Struthio camelus: one gene and its partner. The protein of the gene in region 1 purifies or fractionates together with the protein of each later gene. This does not show direct contact. Links are inferred from orthologs where the notes say so. Each region holds a gene or a part of one and is shown on either strand. Other genes may lie near its edges.

Region 1 (9,449 bases):
GAGGTTCACTCATTTCTCTACAGCGCTTGATACCCTTTATCTTTTCGGAACAGGCAGCCTATTGGAAACCATTAAACAGGCATCTTCTAACTACCTCTCAGGGATACCAGGCTGCTGGTCCTAACCACGGTAGCTGCTTCTGGTAACGTTGTTGGATAAGACCGTTCCTGGCTGTCAGGAACATGTAAAAAGAACGCACAGGTACTACCAGTACTGAGAGAGGAAATAACCACAGGCAAACAATTGGTATGAGCTGGAAAGGGGACAACAAGCAAAATGGCGTATACCAAAATGAGACTATGGAAGTAAACAGCTATACAGTCCAGATCTGAGACACAGAAGGATTGTGTAGGTCTATTCATCCTTGCTCTACTTCCAGCGTGCACAGAATCCTAATGATACCAAATCAGATGGCTTCTGGATGGAAGCAGAATGTAAGAGAAAACTGAGGAAAGAAGGTATCAATAATGCTTTACAGAATCAAGTCAGTACTGGGCCCCCCAAAAAGGAATAATGGACAGGGTTTTAATACAAACACATCCCCCCTAAACGGTTAAGAAGTGTCAAATAATACACTGGAGATATTCAAAACCCGTCTGGATGTGATCCTGGGCAATATGCTTGAGCAGGGAGGTTGGACTAGATGACCTCCAGAGGTCCCTTCCGACCTCAACCATTCTGTGATTCTGTGAAACAAGTCAACATTTTGCTTTGTAAGTGTAAGTTGGGTTACTGTTTAATGGCTTTACAGATATACGGCATTTAGATATGCAGGACCTGTGTGCTTCCTTCTGCATCGTTTCTTGACCAGAAAGCCTATCCTCTAAACTTCTGATAGGACAATTTCTACTTCACAAAAAGTACTAGGGGTTTTCACGATAGAGGTAAGTGCTTCTAATCAAGCCAATTCATAGTGCAACAACTGTAACCACTACTTCTAATTCCCATATGTACGACAGGTTGTTTCTGGCGATTCCTGAGCTAATAGAGCACAGCCTACAGTAACGTTTGCTGTCCACAAGTTCACGTCTTTTCCTGACTGGACTTTCTCAAGGACCCTACTCTGTGAGTGACAGGAAGTGACAAACCTGCTGAAAGTAGACTAACTGTACTCACCAGCTCCCAGTTTCATTTACACCTTTTTGAGCTACGTCTCGGTTCACGAGAGAAATACAAGTATAATCTAGGTGTTTTTTTACAAGGCAACATTCGCCATATCACCTAGACGCTATTTCCTGTATCAAAAGTAAAGTGGTCACTACTCAAAATATAAAAAATGTCACTGTTTAACTAACCGGGACACTGGTGAAATCTGAATATGAAGACCTGAGTTACTTTCCGTGTTCAGACTGGAAACATTTAATTTAAGCTTCATTAAACACGTGCAACGAAATATAGGATATAAATAAAAACATGACTAGAGATAGTTAAGAAAAACATACACCGACCTTTCTGAAGAAGTCTGGAACAGGCATCCAAAAGAGCTCCAGCAATGACAACAACAGATGTAGTGCCATCACCAGCTTCAATATCTTGTGCTTTTGACAGCTCTACCAACTACGCAACAAATTATAACAAAAGGTTATAGTGACAATTACAGAGAAAAACATTCAAGAATGCAGTGCGACTGAGACCAACCTTACTATCAGGACCAATCCTGCCTTTCCTAATTTGAAATTTGTACCTTTTGCAACTCACTTATCACACTTTTCACACGTTTGGCAGAAGTACAACTGATGTAAATCAAACCACCTACAGAAGTCAATAAGTGTCTCCGCCAAGCTTTGAGCTGATCACACCTACTGAACAGGTCCAGCTTTTCCTTTAGCAGAATCACAGGTATCTCATTTCCCTCTCCAACCACAATTCACATCTAGGAGGCCTACATTTAAGCTCTCAAAAGGCCAGGCTGCTGTTTCTTGCACACGCATTCACTCTAGCGCACGTGGTCAGACACAAACTGGCTACAAAGCTGGTCTGTTATGAAAGACTTTTCCCCCTTACCCCCCAAACTCAGATCAAATTAATATCCTTATTAATTATCCTGACTATTGAGCACGGCTGGGGTGGTGGGGGCTGGGACAGGGAAGAGAACGTGACACGAAGGACATTCTATTCTATTCTGTTCTAGGGCATCCTAGGACCGCCTGACCATAACGTCATTCACTCTCTTTAAATCTTCTGCATTCTGCTGGTTTAGGCCATCACTGACTTTTCTTTCTTAGCCGAGAGAAGGTTATCAGGCTAGATTCTTTTATGTCTTAAAACATATCCAGAAGGGATTACGCACATGCACACAGGATAAGAAATAGAGTCTTGGAACTCTGAGCAGACCTTATAATCAGGGTAAACAGTCTTGAAACATGCTAAGCAAAGCCTGTTGCTCAAATTCACATGAAACGTTCGAATATTTTCTGTCCTGGAAACGAAGCTCTAACATGTAACCTTGTCCAAGCTATGGAAAAATATTTACCATCTTGGCTGCAGGGTGCAAAACCTGCATTTGTTTCAGAATAGTAGCACCATCATTAGTGATTGTCACATCTCCTTTAGCATCCTGAATCTAGGAAGGAGGAAGAAAAACACAGTTCTGATTAGTAATTACAAATCTGGAAGCTGAGTTGATGCGCTAAACGCAAGGGATTTTCCTGTCGACATTACTTCTGAAACAGATGTGCATACAATTTACATTTTAGAAGTTCCTTTATGTAAGGGAGATTGGGTCACAAAAATCAAAGTATTCTATTTTTCATGCTTGAGAAAGAAAATTCAAAGCAAGAAAAGTTGTCTTACGCCAAATATGTTCACATTACAGTGTGTCCAGTAAGTTTAACGTTTTCAAAATTTCAGCATAAGGCTTACCATTTTATCCATTCCCTTTGGTCCAAGACTTGTTCTAATTGCATCAGCGACAGCTAGAAGAGAAGAAATACATTTGCAAGTTGATCTAAAAAACTACAAGCACTCCATCACTCTAAATATTTCTTCCATAGAGAAGTCGTCCCCCAGTATTAAACGGCCCGCACAGCAAAATTATACGAGACGTTGTAGCTTCAGGATACAGATTTCCATAGCTGGAATTTTACATCAGTTAGCATCCAATCACTTCATTAGACCCATTTTAAAACTAAAGGGAAATGCTTTGTGCCAAGTAACACGACCAGGGTTTGTATCAAATGCCAAATTTAGCTTCCCTCAACAGGCACTTGTCCTACCACCATGAGCCTGTTACCATTAAAAAAATAACCACAAGAACATCTCCCACTGATATACAACGGAGCACGTAACATCCAGGGAGACAACGGCTGGCTGCCAGCACCGGCACTGAGAGAAGCGACCACGGCAAACCTACGCCTTTTCAACGCTGAAAACAACGGAAAGGCGTTGCCCTCCGCACGCTGCCTCCCTCCTTTCCCCCCACCCCAGCCGAAAGGCTGCACAGCAAGGAACGAGTCTCCCCGCGCACGAACGACCGGCGAGGCAGCGAGCCCGCCCCGCCCTCCCCCCCGCAAGGCAGGGGCGAACAACGCCAAGGCGGCTGCCCGGGGCAAGGCACCCCCGCTCCTCCGGCCGGGAACGGGCGGCGGCGGCCCAGGCAGGGCGGAAGCCCCCCCGCCTGCCTCCGAGCTCGGGGCCGCCCCCCGCCGCGCCTCACCTTTGCCGGCGGAGATGTTGCTGAAGCGGATCTGGGAGGGCTTGTCCCGGTCCTGGTAGGTGCCTTTGGCCCGGTTCCCGGCGCCGCCGTGGGCCTTGGCCCCCGCGTTCTCCGGCATCGTCGCCGCCGATAGACACGGACGGGCCTCGCGCTACCGGCCGCCGATGGACACGAACAGAGCCCGCGCTACCGGCCGCCCCGGCGCCGATGGACACGGATGGGCCCCGCGCTACCGGCCGCCTCGCCGCGAACCTTCCAGAACGCGCCGCCGCCACCGCCGCCAGCAGGGCGCGCCCGGGGTCCTTGCGGCCGGCGCGCCGCGTGACGTCACGCCGGGGCGGCCGCCTGCGCGCCTGCGCCTGGGTCGCGGGGAAAGGAAACACACGCCCGCCGGCGAGCCGCTCGGACACCTAAAGGGGCACCATCGGCGGCTGAAGCAGCTTCTAGCAGGGACCGCTCGGGGTCCTGCGGGGCCGCGCGGGACGTTTCCCGCCCGGCGGAGCTGCACGGAGCTCGCTGCCGACGGGCGGGGCTGGAGGGCGGGCCACGTGGTGCCGCTCCGCCAATGGCGCGGCTCGCGCCGCGCCGCGCCCCGCCCCGCCCGGGCGGCCTCCCTCGGCGGGCGCCCTGAGGGGGGGAGCGTGAGGCGCCGGCGGGGAGGGGTAACGGCTGCCGGAGACCCTCGGTTGGGGGCGGGGGGGGGGGATTGAGAAGTAAGGAGATATATGGATTTTATGTACTAAGAAACTAGTGAAAAGGATCCCGCTGGCAAAGCAGTTTGAGCTCTGTCTGTGAAGGGTGAGGTTATGTCCGGGGTTGACTTGAGGCAGCGATGGCCGAAAGAAGGGCGAGGGGAGCTCAAACCGAGGGACTTCATGTAGGAAAAGATGCTGAGGGAGAAAGTGCCCCAGCGAGAAGTAATCGATGTGCTGGACGTCTTTGTGAAGAACAAAAGTGGTTTAAAAACGTCAGGCTCGTCCGCTCACCCTCCCTGTCGGAGAGTGAGTTCTCTCTGTCGTATTTTAGTAGAGCTCAGTGAATCGAGCAAACAACATCGCCCCGCTTTGACCGCTTTGACCGGTCAGGGTGTCATTTTCCAGAACGCTGAAGGATAAGTGCAGCATCATTTGAACGTTTTTCTTAACAGAAGCACGTTCACAGTGACTCTAGCAGTTTCCTGGGCTCCTTCATTTAGAAGAACCAGAAGTTTGACCCAGACGGAAGGAGCGGTTCAGTTCTGTCGGACAAGACCTGCTGGCTGCGGCTTTTTTTTGTGTTCATTCTGAATGCTAAAATAATTTGCCTAATAAAGACGATGGCAAGAAGTGTACTCTTTCCCATAGTGTCCCAATATTGTCCATTTACAGCTGTTTGGCCACAGCAGGTTGTATGAAACTTGGAGAATATCATTGATGTTTTACTGCTGGAAGGGCTCCCAGCAGCACTTCTGTTTTCTTGGGGAGCCCCTTCCCTGAGAACATCTGGGGTTACAAGCAGAGATTATTTTCCTAGCGCTGTGACTGTTAACTCATCAAGTCGGTCTTGTCACTGCACAGCTTTTGTGAAATTTGCAGGTGCAGCTATATTATAAACATTTGCTAATGTATTTTTGCTTTAGAAAAATTTCCTCTGGCGGACAGCCTCTCCAAAGCCATTGATTTCAGTGCTATATGATAAGTCAATAGCCATGGATGTTAGGGTAGCTGTAACTCTTTTTCCTTTGTGGTCTATCCCACTATTTCATGGGTCCAGCCTTTGGCTTTTATTGGTCTCAGCATGGCATCTTGCAATTTCTTTCCTGTTAAGACAGAGACCTGCTATGCTCTCAGCTGTTTTGATTACATTTTGAGCACCTGTGTTTTCCCTTTTGCAGAACTTACTACCCCGGGAGATTGACCGGCATCCTCCTTAAAGATCAGCAAAAAGGATTTTCAGCAGCAGCTTTATCACAGGTGACATTAGACTTGAATTACAGGGAAGAACAAAAACAACGTATGTTCTTCTGTCGTGCCCTCGTCATCCTATGTGCCTGAGGGACTCTAGCTCAGCTTGTAACATCACCTTAAAAAGGTATGCTTTCTATCAATAAAAATCATGAGAGTTGGAAGATAGCTTATATTTAACTGTTAAGTTGGTCTTGCTTAGATACTATCTAGGTATAAGAAGCATTTGTGCTCTTGTCTTTCTCAGAATTTCTGAATATATATTTGGAATTATTTTCGCCACCTTGAACAGAATATAAGCTTCAAAAGGTTTGAATGCAAAGCACATACTTGAATCTGCAAAGTAAATTAATTTTAGACTGTGTTCAAAATAAGAAACAAATGTGTGTGTGCTTACTAATAATTTCTGAGGGGGAAAAAAAACAAGATACATCTGGAAATCTTTGTAAGAAAACAACCTGCGGTCTTTGAATGACCCAGTATATTATTATTAGTGTTATAGCAGCTCAAAAGAGCTTTGGCTGAAATGAGAATGCTCAAGTAATGTCTTAAAACATGGATTTTTTTATGGCCTATCTCTTCCAGGCTGGATGCGAGGAGTTAAGATTTATGGTATGGCAGCGCCAATAAAGTGCTCATACATAGAGGAAATTACACAACAAGAAACGTATCCCTGCGCCGGTGAAGTGCGCATAATGTAGACAATGCGTTGTAAGAAACAGGCAATGGACGTGAGCTCCTGAGCTTGCTTTCTGTTTCCAAGTATCTACATCTATATCAAGAGCTCATTGCACGTGAAACCTGTTATCATGGTGAGCAATTTTCTAGTGCTAACAACAGTTTTTTATGTTGATCAGCGAAGAGAAAACATTTTGACAGTCCTGTTGTCATCCAAAAAATATGAAAAAAGGCTCCACAGTCACATTACCTTATCACCCGCTTAACCATTTTTAACAGTTGCTTTTGAATTTTCTCACTTATTCCATATTACATGTGTTGGTTTATTTTTTGTACTGTGTTCTTGGCAATTACTGCCAACGTAAAGATAACAGCAAGTATGCTCCTTCTCCAGCAAATGCGCTGAGCAGTTTGTAAAGGCAGCAACATCCTGGTTTCCCTGGTCACGCTGAGTGGATTTATCCGCCGTTGTAATGAGAATGAATGCTCTTTGTCAGAGACAGTATGTGGAGAGAAGATTTGGGAAGTGAGTAATTTTTGCTTTTTTATGTTCCATTTACAACAGGCAGATAAGACAAGTTTTAAGTTTAAAGATAAGCTGATGCATATATCCAGGCCGAGAGCCGTGGACTGGGGACCTTTTCTGGTAACAGTCTTAATCTGGATTTGTATTAAAAATCATCAAAAGTACATCCTAAATGACCAAGACCATAGGGATCTCTAACCCTGCTCTTAGAATACAGGAAGCATTGATGGCAACAGTACTAAATCCTAGACGTGTAACGCTAATGTAATGTCAAAGCTAGAATCTGGGCTGTTTGTTACTCAGTGCAGAGTCCGGTTTTTTAAAGACCTATTGTAGTATGCTTAGAGTTTCTGAAGCTGGCCACTTCCTTGTAGCGCCGTGGCCTCACATTTGGGATCATTTAGAGTTTGTTGTGGTACTGTTCTTAGTTTCTCCTGCATATAAGGGTCAGTATAGCTATACTCAAGGGTACTGTGTTCATGTTGGGAGTGGAAGATGTTGCCTCTGTGATACTAGACTGGGATCTGGGTTTGGTTATGTCACAGAGTGTTCCAATGGACCTCGTTTGCTGGCAGAAAAAATAGATAGTTTTGAAGATAGATTTTTGTGCTATTACCATAAGTGAGCACATTACATAAGTGAACACTTATGGTGTTGGGTCTGGCAGAGATTGCTATTCCAGGATTAGATTTGCACTAAGGTTAGGAGCAAGGTTTAGGCTTTCCTGGATTTTGAAGGAAATAATAGTTAGAGCTGATGCTGTAAGAGCCGCCACATAGCTCTGTGTTTGGCAGAAACAACCCCTCTGCTGTTAAGAATAATTTGAGGATAGGGTTTGTTCCGTTACTGGGTGGAGAGCCTGGATTTTTAATAGGTATATGACAAGTTGCTGAGCTAAGTTTAGGGCTGCTATGGTTAGTGGCTACCTTCTTACTAATAATTTTGGTCTGGCAGGGTTGCCTCTTTAGAGCTGAGGCTGGGTTTCAGTGCAGTTAGGATTAAGGTTTTTGTAAGTATTAGTCTATGAGATTAGGTTTGTGCTGGATTTAAAAGGAGTGGTCTGGCTAGCTTAAAGGTTGTTGTCATCTGCTGTCTCCTTTATGCGCCTAATTCTGTCTACTAGAAATTCCTTGCCTCGGATTGCATGGCAAGAAATTCCTTGCAGGGTTTAAGGGGTTGTGGTGGGCTATGACACATAATGTGTTTTGCATTGTGTTTTATTGCTTGTTTTGTCTGCTAGTTTTAATTTAGTTGCGCAGGTATGTAAGAGGTCTTTCAAGCTGCTGAGTTTTGTTTAAGGCAATTGTGACTAGTTTTTCAGCTTCATTCCACAGGGAGATTTCCCCCCCCCCCCCTTTTTACTAGTGCATAGTTAGGGGCAGCATTATGGTTAGGCTTCCTGCTCTGATGTCATGTTGGCCTGAATGCCAGTTGTTAATGTTGCTCCAGATTTAGAGTTGTGGATAGAAATTTCTCTGGCTGTTCTTGGTGTTCCTTGTGGGAGAGGTTATCTGAGCAGGCTTAGTGTTAGGCTTATTATTAGACTTCATGTTAGAGTGAAGGTTAGGGGTTTCAGATGGCGTGGACTGGTGAACAGGCTCAGCTGAAGAGGGTGTGGGGATCCAGTGGGCTAGGTTTAGGATGTTTGTATTTAGGGACATCAGATTGTTCTGCAATCTGCATACAAGAAGCAGTTGGTGCGCAGGGAAGAGGAGGAGCAGAATTACCTTTATGTCCATCAGTGGCACAATGTTTCTGTGGCTTTCAAAGTTGTGTTTTGCTCAGGCAGAGGCAATGAACAGTATCAATGTTTTTTTAACCAGCTCCTCTGCTGCTTGCGATTCTGGGCAGATCGCTTCACTTGTCTGTCTCTTGATTTTCTTGCCCAACTATTTCTAGTCTGGTGTAGTTAGATAATGCAGTCTTTTACTACCTGTATGTACGGTGTCTCTTATAAAATAGAGTCCTAATGTCAGGCAGACCTTGCTAGTTCTACTGCAGTAAGATTGATAACCTTCACCGCATAAATAACATCAGTGAATTGTATAGGTGTGATTATGGCAAAATGTGGTTTGTAGAAATATTTCCATCTCTGTTCTTTTTACAAGGTGAAAAATACCTGGGATGTATATCTTTCGTAGTTAACTGTGCTGCTTTATATCAGGTTGGGTATGAACTTTAATCGCACATACAGTCTTTCTTCTTTTTTTCCTGAAGATAATTTGCCTGGAATTCTCAGGGGAGTAGTAATGACAGTATAGTGAATTATTAGCTCTTGTCACCATTATTTAATCACTTTCTGATAAGAGTGAGTAGGTTCTAAACATTTAATACATTTAATAGCAGTCTTCTTCAAATACTCCCCAGTGCAAAATATTTTACACAGCAAGTAGATTATACTTATCCAAAGAAGAATAGAGTCGGTACCTAGTGATCACTGTAGAAATGGAAATGTGATTTTTTTTTTTTTTCCTTCTGACTTGAGTTTCTCCCTGGGGTTTTAGCTATTGGTGTCTCAAGTGTTTTTCTTGGTACTTTGGTTAAACCCCTCCCGGTGGGGCTGCCGGCCCTTTGGTTTGGCTTCATGGCAGCTGTAGCTGCATCTGTGCTGCCACCTAGTGGAGAAGGCGTTGAACAACTGATACAG
Region 2 (8,843 bases), on another chromosome or scaffold:
CATTGGCCCTCTGACCTGCTGGCGTTTAGCAAAGATCAGGACCTTGCAAGAGGATGGGATTTGCTACACTAACTCAAACCTAGCACTAAGGCCTGGCTCCAGGGAGTGATGGGCACTTTGGACTGGGACTGTATCTGCTGGGGCAGATACAAGATGTGAGAGGCTTGAGAAAAGGTGCGTGGTGCTGCACGCACACTCACCGGGGCTCACGTGGCTGCAGCTCTCCCCAAAGCTGCTTTTGGAGGGGTTTCTTCTGGCGTGGATTGGCTTGCTGCAAAGAGGGGATGGAGGGACTGGAGTGCGGCTCTGTCCCGTGTCCCCCTTCCCTGGGAGCCCCCCTGGGGTTGGCACAGCCATGCCGTGGCCCTGGATGGGTTACAGAGCCGGCGGACGGTGCGAAGTCTGGACAACGCTCTCGTTACCTGCGCGCTAACGCCTTGCCAACATGAACTGGGGAGGGATGCCTGGGGCCTGGCAGAGGTTTGTTTGGGGCTGGGAGGTCGCTGGGGGGTCACGGGTCTGGGGGTGGTCTTTGAAAGCAGCACCTGGGTGCCGCCTCTGCAGAGTCGGTGGTCTCGGCCACACTGGACCCTCTGTGCAGCGTCTGGGCGCTCCGGACACAGCCGTGGCGGCTCGCGGAGCAGCAGCGGGTCATGGTAGCCACTCAGCTGTGGCAGGAAGGGTTCCAGCGCGTGGAGGTTTCCCTCTGGCTGCTCGCCCCAGGCAGGAGCAGAGCTCCATGTGTGGCACGAGCTGGCCTGACCTCAACCTCACTGCCGAGGGGCAGGTGCGTGGGGCAGACGGGTCCCCGCTTGCTCCGTCCCCCGGAGGGTGCAGGGCAACCTCTGGAGCTGCTTCCTCTGGGTCGGGAGCTGGGTGCAGCCCTGCCGCCGGCGGCAGCCCGACCCCTTGGTCTTGCAGCTGCTCCGAGGGCCTCGCTGGGGCTGAGCGAGCAGGTTTCTCCTGCGAAAGGCCAACTCCGCTTCGGGCCGGGGACTGCTGCGATACAACAGTTGCTAAAACCATCTCTGCTCCGTGAGCGCAGCTGGAAACCCCGCCGGGAGCGCGCTGGCTGCGGCGAGGGCTGGCGCTCTCCCAGCGCTTTCACCTCGAGGTCACGGGTTCAAATCCAGCCTGAGGTAGGGAGCGCCGTAAGTGGATGCTAGTTCTGATGGACGCGCGAGGGAGGAGGACTGAGGCGAAGTCGGTCTGGGGTGCTTTCAGGCTGGCGGCTCGGCGGTGGGCTGGGGGTCGAACAGACCACCAGGCTGCCGGCCGAGCACTCCCGGCTCACAGGGAGAGGGGTGGGAGCCGTCCCTGCCTGAGCCGGGGGTATGCCCCCCCGCGCTGCGGGACTCCAACCTGCGTTAACATGCTAGGAAAGAGCCTTTGGGCTGTCAGGTCCCCTGTGGCCCCCAGTGAACGCTGAGCTGAATCTTGCGCTCTGTTCCTGCTTTTGGGAGACGATCCACTCTCGAAGTGGGCTGGTTTCTCTCTCTCCCCATGGCAGCAGCAGAAAAGGCTCAAAAGTGCCTCTGCGGGGACTGCCAGGGTAGCCTCAGGCCCAGGGAAGCAGCGTCCCTGCTGCAGGCGGGCTGCCCTGCCCTGCAGCCTCTCCTGGCCCAGCGAGCTCCGGCCTGGGGCTTCCCCCGCCCAGCTGGTTAAGGATGGTTTGAGGCTCGTTCCCAGCAGCGAAACGACTTGTCGTTGTGCACGAGAGGCCGTGGCACGAGTGCGGGACGCTGGCAGGTGGCTGGGAAGCAGCTCCCGGCACGGGGATGCTCGGACGAGCTCTGCAAACGCCGGGCTGTTCGGGGGCAAGGAGCAGCCTCGCGACAGCCGCCGTCTGAAGAGCTCCGGCTGCGAGGGACGGAGAGCGGGCCCGGCGCGCGGGGCCTGGCTGCGGCAGTGCCATGCCCCCACCGCGGCAGCGCCGCCTCTCAACCGCGGCTTGGCATCGATTCCTGCTTGCAGCGTCCAGGGACTTGGCGAAGCTCCGCCGTCCCACATCTCTCCCCCTCCCACCTGCCCGTCACTAGACGCAGGAAAATGTCATCTTTCCTCCGTGGCGGGGCGAGCAGGCGCCAGCTTTTCACGGGGTCGCGCAGGTTTCCACACCTTCCTGCCCCTCCGCCCGTCGCCCCCGGCTCCTTCCCTCGGGCAGATCCCGCAGCCCCGCGGCAGCAGCGGGACCGGCCGCCCGGCTCCCTCCCGGCTCCTGCCCCCTCGCCCACCAGGCGAGCAGCCCTGCGGGTGGCAGCGCCTCCTCCCAGTTCATCACTAATGCAGGAGCGCCAAGCCCTTCCCGGCTGCAGCCAACGCGAGATAAAAGCTAAAAGAGGCATCAATAATTAAAAACCACTCAAAGCCGGTAAGTGCAAACAGGAGCCAACATACAGATCGAAGGCAGCGCCAGAGACGAGTGTCAGCTGCTGGGTTGCTTTAAGGGCTCCCAGACCTCCTTTGCGTGGGTTCCCACGGGTCCCGCAGCCAGGGGGTGACAAGGTGTCCCTGGCGCGGCAGGGACGCAGCGGGGGGTGCGGGCGCCCGGCCCGGCACGCCGGGGCAGCAGCGCCCCGGCACAGCGAGGGGACCCCTGATTTCGGCCAGTCCCCTCCCTCACTTTCCCCTCTCAGCTTGTCGGCTCCAGCGCGGGCTCCAGCCAGCACAAGGCCCCAGCTCGTGCCAGCTGCTGGCAGAAACGTGCCGGGAGGTTGGCGCTGCCTCCGGCGGGCGCCGCCGGCCCCAGGGCTCCCGACTCGAGGAGGCAGGGGAGGCGCTGGACGGGGGAGGGCATCGCACCCGCTCCCTGCTCCCGCGGTCGGGCGGGTGTTTTAGCGCGGGAGCAGAGGGAGCTGCCTCCTTCAGGGTCACCCGTGTCACCCCTGCCTGTGGAAAACGGGCCGTTTTGGGCAAGAAGCTTTGAAAACGCTCCAAAACGTCTTCTCAGGCCGAGTCCCTCCCTCCCGTGAAGTGGGTCAGGCCAGGCCCGTCACCCCTCGGGTCCTGCGCCGCGGGGCACATCTGCGCCCTCATCGCTCCTGCGCCCCGGGAGGCTGCGGGGCGCCGGGCGGGAGCCCAGGGGTGCCCCCCGCCTTGCCCCCAGCCCAGCCACCGCCGGCACGGCACGCGGCGAGGAAATAGCACAATTAATAAAAGATTAGGACGAAATGTGAGGCATGAAATATTTAACCTCGTGCCTGCCTGCACGGTGCCCAGGTACAGCTGGTTCTTGCAATATTTAAGGATAGTCCTCGCTCTGCTGCCACCGCCGGTGCGTGGCGGGGGGCCTGGGGACGGGACAGGACGGGCGGCCGGCCCTTTTGGGTGTCCGCAAAGGGGAAGCGGGCCGGCGGCCGGGCAGGCGGGGACCCTCGCGGGCCCAGGCTCCGGCTGCGTCCGGCAGGGCCGGCGCCTCCCTGCTTCCAGCCCCGAGCGCGAGGCGAAGCCCAGCTTTAATCGGACAACGATCCCCAAGATACTGGCGGCAGCGGCCGCAGCCGGCTGGCGGCGTCGCGGCCTGGGGCCGAGCCAAGGGCGGCCGGAGCCCGGCGGCCCGAGAGCGGCCGTGGTCGGGCCCGGGCGTCCGCGGGCCTCCGGCAGCCGCTTCCCTAATCGCAGCTCCTCCGAGGGCCGGGAAACACCCAAAGCGGGTGAAATCAGCCCAGAACCTCTTGCCGGCGAAACCCGGAGCGCGTTGGGGTTTGGGGTCTGCTTTCTCCTCCCGCTGCGGTGCTGGATTTCCCCCTCTGATTTCCTCCCTCCCTCCCCCCCGCCCCGAGAAGAGGAAGATTTTGGGGCGTTTTGCCCCAAATCGGAAACACCGGTGGCCTGTCCGCGGCCGCCGGTCCCGGGGCGCCGCGCCTCGACATCCCCCCTCCCCGGGGACTCGTCTGCCCTCTCGGGGGGATTCCGCGCGGTTTTGGGACTCGCCCCCCCCCCCCCGGGGCCGGGGGCCGCGCGGGGGCGCCCCCGCCGCCGGGCCGGGCCGCGGCCCACGTTACTTTGAGTGGCAGCCGGCGGCCGCCCGCAAGGCCTTGTGGGCGGCGCAGTCCGCCCGCGCCGGGGCCGGGGCCGGGGCCGGGGCCGGGGCCGCTCCCGCCCGGCGGCTCCGGCCGCCCCCGCCCCCGCCCGACCGGGAGGGCGCCGCCGCCCCGGGCTGCCGCGGGCGGGAGCGGCCGCAGGCGGCGCGGCGGAGCGTGGACTACAGCTCCCAGCGTGCCCCGCGGTGCCCCGCCCCGCTGCTTCTGATTAGCCTCAGCGCGCGGTGACGTCAGGGACCCATGTGGGGGCGACGCGCGGCGATTGGCCGGCGGCCCCCGAGGCGGCCGCCAATGGCAGGCGCGGCTCCCGCGGCCGCGGTTTAAGGTGGATCGGGGGCGCCATGGCGGGGGGCGCCCCGGTCCCGGCCCCGGTCTCGGGGTGGCTGCTGCGGGGCCGGGGAGGGGCAGCGGCCCCGGGAGTCGCTGTGCGGCGGCGGCGCGGCCCCGTGCTGCCCCCCGCCCCCGTCCCTCGGGCGCCCGGTTTGGTCCCGCTGCCCGTCCAGGTCCCTGCTGCCCTGCCCGCCCAGGTGCCCGGTCTCGTCGCGGTCCCGCTGCCCGTCCCGGTGCCGGTCCCAGTCCCCGCTGCCGATGCCGGTGCCCGTCCCGGTGCCGGTGCCCGTTCCGGCGGGGGCGCGGTGCGCCGGGCCGCGGCAGCCCCCCGCCGCCTGCTGCGGGAACGCGCCACCTTAAGCGGCGCCGGGGGCTGCGCCGGGAGGCGGCGGTCGCCCCGGCCGGGGACGCTGCTCGGTGCCGGCCCGCTCGCGCGCCGGCCTCTTCCCGCCGCCCGCCCGCCGCCCCGGCCCCATGGGCAGCCCGCAGAGACCCCGCTGCCGTCGGGGGGAGGCGTCCCCCGCCCGGCTGCCCGGCGGCGACGGGCTGCCCCCGGCCTGATCCCAGCCGAGCCCCGACCCCCGGCCCGGCCCCGACCCCCGAGCCCCGACCCCCGGACCGGCCCCCGACCCCCGGACCGGCCCCCGACCCCCGGCCCCCGGACCGGCCCCGACCCCCGGCCCGGCCCCGACCCCCGGCCCCGACCCCCGGACCGGCCCCCGACCCCCGACCCCCGGCCCGGCCCCGACCCCCGGCCCCCGACCCCCGGCCCGACCCCCGGCCCCGACCCCCGGACCGGCCCCGACCCCCGGCCCGACCCCCGGACCGGCCCCGACCCCCGGCCCGACCCCGACCCCCGGCCCGGCCCCCAGCCCAGCCCCCGACCCCCGGCCCGGCCCCGACCCCCGGCCCGGCCCCGTCAGCCCGGCCCGAGCTCCGACCGGGGACCGGGGGCGGCAGCGGGCGGCCCGGAGAGGGGCGGGCGGGGGCCGGGCCCGCAGGATGTTCCCGCAGGGGCGGCACCCTGTGAGTACCCGCGACCGGCGGCCCGGGGGGCTCGGGGGGCCGCGGCAGCCTTCACCAGCCGGCCCGGGCGCCCTCTCTCCCCAGGCTCCTCTCCCGGCCGGGCAGCCCTTCAAGTTCTCGGTTTTGGAGATCTGCGACCGCATCAAGGAGGAATTTCAGTTCCTGCAGGCTCAGTATCACAGGTGAGGGGGGGCCGGGCAGCGGCAGGGCCTGGACGAGGGGTCCTTGTTTGGCCGGAGGGCAGGAGCGGGGCAGGAGGGGCTGGGGGCCGGGCTGTGCTGTGAAGTGGGGGCTCAGGGTGGGGGGAAAGGAAGGTCCGGGCAAAGGAGGACAATGGGGGCCGGACTGAGGGGAGCATTAGGGGCAGGAGAGGATGGAAGAGGGGTCCTGGTGAAGGGGTGATCGGGGTGCGCAGGGAGAGGGGTCTAGACTGAGGGGCAGACTGAGGCTGGGAATTGGGGTGCCAGGTCCTGAGGGGGCCCCAAGGCTTGTGCCAAGCCGGGCGTAGGGAAGCGTGGAGGGGAGATGGACCCGTGCCGCGGAGATGGAGCAAGGGGTGGGCTGAGATGGAGCAGTCCCGAGGGGAGCAGGGGCTGCATGGGCAGCACACGGCGCAGCCAGCCCCACGGGTCCAGGTCCCTCCGGAGGCACCGAGGACCAGGACAGCAGCAGCAGTCAGCGATGGGTGCGTGACACCCTTGTGGTGCCATGAAACTCTGGGGGCAGAGATGGAGTCGGGGGAGAGAAAGGTAGAAGAGCCAAGCTTTCTGAGACCTGGGGTGGGGGTGGACACAGGGGGACAGGGCAGGGGAGGTGGGTCCGTGAATGAAAACCAGGGATCCTCTTTGCAGCCTGAAGCTGGAATGCGAGAAGCTGGTGAGTGAGAAGACCGAGATGCAGAGACATTATGTCATGGTAAGTCCCCCCTCTGCTGTCCTCCACGCCCCCAAAGTGTCCTCGACCCCCAGCCCTCCTGGCGAGGGCCCGGGGCCGGAGCTCCTCTCAGTTGCTCGCCCAGCTGAGACGCGGACTTCTGCGGGCCACTGCCGCTAAGCGGATCTCTGGCCTACGAGGTTGTCCTGGGGCTGGGGGCGTGAGTTAGGAAGGAGTTAATCTGTATTCCTAGCAACGGGCTGGCTCTTCTGCTGATGTCTGCTGCCGTGCTTGATGCTGTCTGAGCCCAGGAATCATGCCATAGGTTTCTTCTCTTTTATTTTCTTTTTTTCCCTTTTTCTGTTTGGCCTCTTAAAGATAAAGGTCTCCTCCCTGTCTCTCTGCCAAGAGGGGATGTCTTGGAAGTGATACCCCGAGGCTGATGTTTTGGTGTTTTGGATGGGAGGGGAAACTGCCTTTAAAAAGAGCAGGGCAGGACCCCTCTGCAGTGGCCAGCCCACCGGTGCGTGCCAGGCCTCTTGCTGGGCAGCTTGGGGCAGGAGGAGGGGTGGCACTGCTGGCCGGAAGCTAGGAAAATGAGAATTGGAGAACTGGAGTAACATTACCTCTCCTTCTGCATCTGACATTACCGGCCCCTCCAGGGGAAGGGGGAGACACAAATTATCCCCCCTCCCAACAACAAACAGACCTAAACCTGGGCAACCCCATCCCCTGGGTGATGGCTGCCCTATTCCTGAGGCCGGGGGTATCAGGATTTATCAGCATGGCAGGATGTGTTAGTGCCACCCCATCAGCTGGGAGCCTCTCCCACCTCTCGCCACCTCGGGGACTCCTGGAGGTGGGTTGCTGTGTCTGAGATGGGCTTTGCTGGAGGAAAGCAGGTCCTCTGGCCCCAGGGGCAGCTTTGAACTCACTGCCCGCCTTCTCCCCGGCCTCAGGGGAGGTGGGACAGAAGTCTGCTGGCTGTCACCACTGCCAGAGTCGCAATTGGCTTCAGCTGGTGAAAGAGGTAACCTTACGTCATCTTTTTCTTTGCACGGGCATGACAGCCCGTGTGACTAGATGGGAAGCTGCATCAGGGAGTCGATCTGGGTTAGGAGCAGGAAGGGACAGGCCAGGATAGGACCCCCTTTCCTTGCCTCCGGTCTGACCTACACACTGGTCTATGCTAATGCAGAATCTAGGGTATAATCCTCAGTCTGCACCTCGGCGGCACCCCCAGCTCGTCCCAGGCGTTGGTTGGAACTCACGGTGTGATGAGTTTGGGCGGGCGTCAGCCCATCGCTTTCGCTCAGCTCTTTCCCTGGACCCTGGGGCTGGCCAGAGCAGGGACCGCAGCAGCAGGGTTATGCTAGAGGAAGTTTGACAGGGGAAGCAGAGATGGACTGGATGTTAAACCCCTGGCTGAAATGGGCTGATTGCTCAGGGCAAATGCTAACCAAGCTGCCCTGTGATTTCCTTTCAGTATTATGAAATGTCCTACGGGCTGAACATTGAAATGCACAAGCAGGTGAGTGTTTTCCAACAGACCCCAGCTCAATCTCCCTTGTCTCTGTGTCCCTGTTAGTGGCATGGGAGAGCTAGCGCAGCTGTGGGTGAGGGACTACCTTGCAAAGGGCTTGAGCAGTTGTCAGGACATGTGGTACTGAGCTCTGGTAGATACCTTGGGCGGAACCTCCTCCCAGTGATCCCAAAGCACCTCTCGAAGTCTGGCCTTGCATCCTGCAGTCCCTGTGTGCATACCTGCCAGCAATGGTTCCCTGGGGCCCCAGACGCCGGAGGGAGTGTGGAGGAGACAGCAGGAACTGGAGCCCGGAGGCAAATGGATTGCCTTTCTTTTCTTTCTTTTTTTTTTTTTTAATCCCCTTTTCCTTTCCTGAAGCCAGAGGAGTGTTTTCACCCTTCCCCAGTTCCCCTTTTGTTCCAGCGTTAATTTGCTTTCCCTCTTCAGATTTATCAATCTAGTCATCACGGGCTCTCTGCCAGTGAAATTAGTTTGGACCAATGCCTGACAAAGTGGCAAGTCAACTGCCATATTCCTCCAGCTGGCTCAGCCCCTCCGAGTTTGCTCCTTTTGTTGGCAGGGAGGGCTGTAGAGCCCTCCAGCACGTTCCTGCTGTCCCCACGTGCTCCGAACTCTGGTGGGACTGGGATCCAGGGGAGCCGCCCGGGACCCGGGGGCTCTCCCCGCAGGGCGGCAGGGAGGCGGATGGCTGAGGGGTTGGAGACGGGTGGGGGGCTCGGGCCCGGCACGCCTGGGTCCTGCTGGTGGCTGCGGGCACTACGAGGTCACCCGGACCGGATCTGCCCCTCCCGGGTGGGAGTCGGGAGTCGCGGCCAAGCAGCAGCAGGCTGGATCGGGGGGGACGGGGTGTCTGGGGGGTGACAGGGTGTTTGGGGGGACGGGGCAGGCGGGTGCAGGCTGCGCTGCCCCCCGCCCCGGGCAGGGAGCTGCATGACTCCCACAGCCAGGTAGACGTCCGTCCCCTTTGTTCTTTGCCGCCTTTGTGTACGGTTTGACCTCTCTGCAATGCTGTCAGAGATTGTAGA

The links.
Region 2: the proteins of CCT4 (region 1) and TLE2 purify together in Homo sapiens (affinity purification with mass spectrometry; 3 studies listed by BioGRID and IntAct, with this or other methods). This does not show direct contact. The link is inferred for Struthio camelus from reciprocal best matches to the Homo sapiens genes CCT4 and TLE2.

The regions. Positions count from the first base shown.
Region 1 is NC_090944.1:131,135,387-131,144,835, reverse strand, and holds the start of CCT4 (T-complex protein 1 subunit delta), read right to left. Parts: upstream 4,214-9,449; 5' UTR 3,774-4,213; coding exon 3,656-3,773; intron 2,916-3,655; coding exon 2,863-2,915; intron 2,564-2,862; coding exon 2,474-2,563; intron 1,558-2,473; coding exon 1,449-1,557; intron 1-1,448. UniProt on the Homo sapiens protein: Component of the chaperonin-containing T-complex (TRiC), a molecular chaperone complex that assists the folding of actin, tubulin and other proteins upon ATP hydrolysis.
Region 2 is NC_090967.1:7,794,681-7,803,523, reverse strand, and holds the start of TLE2 (transducin-like enhancer protein 2), read left to right. Parts: upstream 1-5,267; 5' UTR 5,268-5,375; coding exon 5,376-5,399; intron 5,400-5,483; coding exon 5,484-5,581; intron 5,582-6,250; coding exon 6,251-6,314; intron 6,315-6,551; exon of another isoform or gene 6,552-6,566; coding exon of another isoform or gene 6,567-6,597; intron 6,598-7,231; coding exon of another isoform or gene 7,232-7,302; intron 7,303-7,758; coding exon 7,759-7,803; intron 7,804-8,843.